Danio rerio: one gene and its partner. The protein of the gene in region 2 purifies or fractionates together with the protein of the main gene of each other region. This does not show direct contact. Links are inferred from orthologs where the notes say so. Each region holds a gene or a part of one and is shown on either strand. Other genes may lie near its edges. The genes, in order: snx9b and ocrl.

Region 1 (2,614 bases), on a different chromosome or scaffold from region 2:
TGATTTTGAACTTGAATTAAATGTAATTAACAAGTATTAGGCATGTGATGATAACCGTTTTCAAGGCATACAGCGGTTTGGAAAACTCAAGGTTTTTAAACCGCCATATAAACCGCTGTATAAAACATACCTCTTGAGCCTCTTATCTCCTCCTGATTTGCAGTTTCTGTTTGTTTTTTGAAAATGTAATTTTCTGCATGTCAACAAATCTGAAAATCTGATTTATTTTATAGTGTGAGTTGTTATCCAATGTGATACAAAGCTACAAACATGTTCATTCGGACAGAGTGAAGTAAGGTAGAAGTTGGGTTTAGGTTTTGGGTAGGATTAGGGATGTAGAATTAAATGATACTTTATAACTGCTATTGAACAGTTAATATCTTAATAACAGGCAGGTGATAAGCCAGTAGTTAATAGTATGAGTTGCGACTAAAATGTTACCAAACATTTTCAGGAAATATGACTGAAATTAATTTAAAAACTGAGCAAATAAACATTTACACCAGTAAATAAAGACTCATTGATAGGCTAAAAATCTGTGGATTCTAATCTTCACACAAACTAATTCTCCAAATATAAATCCTGTTTCTAGAAAAAAAAAAAAACCTTCTATTATTGTTTGCTCATTTCCTAAAATGCCATCCACAAACTTTCCATTTAAACCATAAAAAGCACGCGAACAAACATTCACTCATTCATTGAACACAAAAGCATTGCATGGTATACAAATCAGTATTTATTAAATCATAATCTCAATCTTATTTGTCATTCTGTGTGCAAAAGACTTGCAAACACTGCTTTACATAAAAAATATATATACGAACAACTGGAAAACATGCATCTATACGTATAATTCACTTTTACAGGATAGGAAATTGCTGATAATTGCACTGAGGTGGAAGCATGTCTGTAATCTGGCTTTGGGGAGCGAGAAAAATAACATCTGAATGTCTCTTCTGTGGGGAAAAAGGACCAGCCCTCCTGTTTCATCCGCAAAATCCTCTGATGAAGGACACTGCGGTTGCCAAACACAAACAGAATGATGCATCTGAAAGGCCACAGTAAAGTGCACAGGATAAAAAAAAAGCATGTTGTTGTTTTGCCGGCTCTACACAAAAGAAGGCACGATGAAACTCGGTTGGCCAATGAGTTCAAACAATCCGCTATACGTTTAGATCATTATATAAAAGTTCTACATCAGTGAGGGTCTTAATAACAGATGTGGATCATCGAAATCAACACCTTGAGGATTAGAATAATTATAGCCCTCTTATAATCAGATTTATTTCTTGTTTTTAGACAATCTGTAGCTGCTTTTTGTTTTTAAAACACCGGAGGTGGGCCAGTCTGCACACAGGGCGCTGGATTATCTTTGGCCTGGCATTTGTATGGCACTGACATCATGACACAGATAACAGGAATAGAAAGAGTGAATAATCATGTAAGAGGAAGAGAGAAATGAGGCAGCTTCTGGGCGGACGATTCAGCATTACATAGTAGTGAACTGACTGTGAGCTTGCCGCAGCTTCTCTGCAATCTGCCAAAACAAATAAGTGATTGCACATTTGTGAATACGGCTTTCAATCAGGAATCAACGGTTTTGTTGAGCCTTCCTATTGATGCATCCTCACTTAATAAAATAAGTATTTGAGAAACATTACCATCTCGTAGAATTTGACTTGCTGCTCCAGATACTGCTGCATCACTCTGTTGTAGTCATAGATGCGATTGTTGTGGAAGTGGTTCATTTCGGCTGCAGAGATGACAGATTGATCAGATTCATTATACAGTTTACAGCTCTGTGTTTAAAGGCGAACTCACTTTAAGCATCACTACAGATGCGCAACACATGTATTGTTGTTGTTGCATTCTCCACTTATGCTGCGTCTACAGAAGACTTGGATGAAGGGTCAAATGTGAGTGATTTACATGTTAAAGGGCACCTTTTTCAGATTTTTTATGAATCATTAGTGTCTCCAGAATGTGTCTGTAAAGATTCAGCTCAAAACATCCACCACATTTTCTATTATACCTTTAATAAGATTCTGTTTTATACATTTTTGCAGTGGGTGGCGGTTTTGCTGTTCTGCGCCTTTAAGGCTAGTCTTCCCCGCCCACAGTTTCACACCTTTCTGCGTGCTTTAATCTCCTCCCTCGGCTGCGTCAGACAACAAACAGACATAAAGGAAGCAGATTTCACGTAGCGTTTGTGAGAAATACTACAGTAAGAACTTTACCCATGATACTCAATCACTGGCGCATGGTGTACTAATGGTTTACAAGTAGTTTTTTAACCGCTTGCTGCGCCTCGCGTTTTGCCGTTGCGCGCTGTGCGCTCACGGTTGAGAGTGGAAAAAAGGTTGCTGCGTCACTCACGTCTTTTTCATTGTCCAATCAACTGAAAGCAGAAGCAGGGTTTCCGTTGAGGTGCCTGCAGTGCTTGTGCTGTCAAGATGACTACGGAGTCTTTTAAAGTTGAAGGAGAGTCATATGGTTGCTGTTTTGAGTTATCCGGTGCTGCATGACTTCACAAATCTTGAATATTACATTATTCTTAAATATTAAAATTACACCAATACAGCAACATTCGTGCACAATACGCAGCTGATTCAGT
Region 2 (3,839 bases):
ACATAGCATTTGGTTTTCCTAATGAAGTATAATGGTTACAGGTTTCCAGCATTCTTCAAAATGTCTACTTTTGTGTTTAAAAGCATATCAAAACTCTTTTTTTCGCCATTTCACATAAATATTTTTAGTATCCAAAACTTCACTGCACCGTACATAGTCTTCTTTTGGAAGTGAATAATGTGGATTTAAGATATAATTAATAACACAAAAACGCAAATTGTCCTAATTTATTCATCTTTTGATTTTCAAACCTTTATGGGTTTCTTTTTTCTGTTGAACACACAAAAAAAGATACTTTAAAAATTGTTGGAAACCTGTAACCCTTAATATACATAGCATTTGTTTCCTGCAAATGAAGCCAATGGTTACAGGATTTCAGAATTCTTCCAAAGTATTCATTTGTGTTCAACAGAATAACAAAACTCACTTAAAAATACTTGATAAATAGTGAGTTATTTTTCATTTTTGGGTGAACTGTCCCTTTAATAGTCTATGTAAATTGTTAATAATAACTCTTTTATGAACAGAAAGCTTAAAATTCAGTCAATTTTTTACATTATAAATGTCTATACTGTCACTTTTGATCAATTGAATACATCTCTGCCAAAGTGTTCATTTCTGCATTCAAATCCTCCAACTTATAGAGTCCAAGTGATGAGTTTATTTGAACCATCTTTTCCATTTGTAAGCAAACTGTCCTAATGCATCCACTCTGAAAGCAATTATGGCACACATGATTAGCCCATAACACACTCACAGTTCAGCGAAATGCTAAAATGCTGCAAACATTATTGATCCTCCTCTAATATATAGTGGGACCTCAGAAAGAATGGAGGCAGGCCAGTGGATCGATGCAGAGTGAGTTTGTCTGAGGATAGACTGCCCTGTCTGGCTCTCTGTCATTACTCACCTCCCGTCGGGTTAGGGACAAAGAGGGCAGAAAGTCATTTTCCATCCTGTCCATGTCCCGCACAATCTCTTCGAAAATCTTTTTGTAGCGTTGCTCAATCACCATCTTCACCTGCAGCACACACATAAATTCAATGTGACGCTCTCGATGCTATTATTGGAGGATGATGAAAGGAGTAAACCTCACCCCGATACTAAAGACAGAGCTGACAGGTTTGTGGTCACTGGTCTTCAGCTCCATGTGACTGCGGTAGTGAAGCTGCTTCACGTTGCTTCCCCTCCATAGGATACGGTCGCACCAAGCAGGAATCCGACACTTCCCACTGTAAATACACCACATTCATTTAATTTTTTTTTTTAAACACTGTCTTTAAAGAGCCCCTATTATGGGTTTTTGAAAACGACCTTCCATGCAGTGTGTAACTCAGCAGTGAACAGAAATATCCAGCTGAAGCTTAAATCTAAAAGTGCACTTTGTTTAAAAAAATCGATTCATCTATTATAGAGTCGACTCATAGTGGTTCGAATGAGTCTTTAGCCGTGTCCGCGTGACATCGATATGGAACTCAAGCCCCGCCCATTTGTTGCACGAGCAGACCTGGGGAAGTTGAAATCCCTGGCCCCATCCACAAACATTGTAGAAATAAACTGAGGACTATAGCTATATACACTATACAATATAGCAGATCCCGGTTGAATCATGCCACGAAGAAGCTGTTCTCTGAAGTGTGAGGGAAATTTTTCGTTACTTTCTCTACCCAAAGATGAGGTTGTGAAGAAAAAATACCTTAGCATTATAGCCCCAGCCTTGTGCTGTGTTCCTCTCATTTTTCAGACGAGTGCTTCAGTAATCTGCATGTTTACAACGGGGGATTTATAGGCCGTTTGTTAAAGGAAGGACCAGAAATGACTACTGATGTATGGATCTTTGTCGGAGCCTGACAGAAACTTTACAATACACAGTTCATGGTTCAGTTTCTTCCTCCATTTTACAAGTGTAAGTAACTAGTATTAAAACTGCTGCCTCCTTGCTTTCTCTAGCTTGCAAATTATGCATTTAATTGTGTTTTGTTACTTGTAACCGCTTGTACTGTGTCTGGTTAACACTTTATATTCTCATATTGCATCTAAAACCATGTTGAAATTGTGACGTGTGCCGTTATGTTTATGGATTAAAACTTGTTTGTGAGCTCGCAATCTACTTCCATTTGTCGTTGCTATGGCCACCATCAGCTGTTCCTACACACGTGTGCTGCCAAGTTCAAAATATTTCAGCTTTTGCCACTTTGTGGATTAATACTGAATGCGTGTTGTGGTTAAGAATAGAGCAATATGCTGGTGTTTAACTCAATTGCTTTAATGCACTCCTACATTGGGCTCACACATACACTCTGCACTCTGACTACTTGTTTATAAGCTGTGCTGGGCATTTCCCTCTGTCTCAAGCCGAACGGAGTCGACTAATCGCAATAGACTGGGTCATCTGACCAATCAGCGAAGATTAGCATCGTGCTAATCAAGGAGGGGTTTGGCAACAAATGAATTAGAGAATGAATCATATGGGAGTCGTTAGTATGTTAGGTAAAAATAAATGCATATTATAGGACAACTAAAATGTTTTTTGACTTTGCATGCATATCAGCCTGTTGTTGGAGACCCCCAACACCAAAATACAATGTTTTTTTAATGCATAAAAGGGGCTCTTTAATGCTTTTCGAACTTCTGATATGTTCTAAAGAAATCAAAACCAAACATACAAGAAATGTAAAATAAATAATAATAACAAAAAAATACAATTATATACGTTAATAAAAGCATGAACATATACTAACAATATAAAAGGTACAAAATAGAATAACAGTACATCAATAGCAGATGATACAAGATACAAGTTATACAGAGAAAAGATTTGTATCAGCTTCTTTCAGAAATCCTACAAAGGGATTCCATATTTTGAAAAACTTTTCCGGTTTTTCCCTGACTATATACGTAACAATGAAAGAGTTCTTGCAACCATTGTTTAAAATGAGGGCTTCTTTGCAAGTTTTGCATCATTTACTTCATTTTAAGAGCTTTCTACCATGAAGTGATCATTAAACAGTGTTCAGTCTCAGGAACTTTACCTTGAGTCCCACCGATCTGATTTAGCGTCATATTTGTAAGTTGGGATGAAATTGATCTCCCCTTCCATGAAATCGGTGAAGACACGTTTAGTCTTTCTCTGGAGGTTCAGCTGCCAATACGAAGACAAAGATTTTGCCATCAAAAAGAAGCTTTAGGCAACCTCAAGTAAAGAAATGTGTGCCAACTGCCATTAGAATTTTAATACTGGGTTAAATAGTATAAATAGTGTTAATTGAGTTTTAAATGTGATTTATAAAATGATGTTGAAAGTATTTGTGCTTTTTGTGATCTATGTGATGTGAATGCTGATGCAATTATGTGGTGAAGCCAAAGATAAATATCAACTTGTGGACAATAAAAAAAAAAGAAAGTCAAAGATTCTATTAAATGTGCTTTTAACAAAAATAGAAGTCAGTCTATATATGGCTATCACTGAAAGGGATAATTCCTCACCATTTAATAGGGGTGTCATAATTAATTGTTGTTTTTTTTTCAATGCACCACGATGCAGACGCAAACAATTCGGTATCGGTTCAGTAATAATCGTAACCGGTTATTCTGCACTGACATCATTTATCACATATACGTTATATGGCGGTACCTTGCTATGGCAAGGGAGGAGACCGCGTGTAGTTATAACGCTCCAACTACTTAAAAAGCAGATATCTGTACAGGCAACGTTTTGTCTCCTCTCTTGGCTGTTACAGCAGTAACGTTACTTGTGGATCCAGAGTCAATCACAGCCTTTTCTGTTTAGCGGATGATAAATCATAGGCGTTTAAGAAATCCCTCAACAAGGCTCAAAA

Evidence for each region.
Region 1: the proteins of ocrl (region 2) and snx9b purify together in Homo sapiens (co-immunoprecipitation; 3 studies listed by BioGRID and IntAct, with this or other methods). This does not show direct contact. The link is inferred for Danio rerio from reciprocal best matches to the Homo sapiens genes OCRL and SNX9.

Annotation. Positions count from the first base shown.
Region 1 is NC_133195.1:46,320,120-46,322,733, forward strand, and holds the end of snx9b (sorting nexin-9b), read right to left. Parts: intron 1,754-2,614; coding exon 1,662-1,753; intron 1,538-1,661; coding exon 1,490-1,537; 3' UTR 714-1,489; downstream 1-713. UniProt on the Homo sapiens protein: Involved in endocytosis and intracellular vesicle trafficking, both during interphase and at the end of mitosis. Required for efficient progress through mitosis and cytokinesis. Required for normal formation of the cleavage furrow at the end of mitosis.
Region 2 is NC_133189.1:38,413,827-38,417,665, forward strand, and holds part of ocrl (inositol polyphosphate 5-phosphatase OCRL), read right to left. Parts: intron 3,143-3,839; coding exon 3,033-3,142; intron 1,233-3,032; coding exon 1,097-1,232; intron 1,022-1,096; coding exon 911-1,021; intron 1-910. UniProt on the Homo sapiens protein: Catalyzes the hydrolysis of the 5-position phosphate of phosphatidylinositol 4,5-bisphosphate (PtdIns(4,5)P2) and phosphatidylinositol-3,4,5-bisphosphate (PtdIns(3,4,5)P3), with the greatest catalytic activity towards PtdIns(4,5)P2.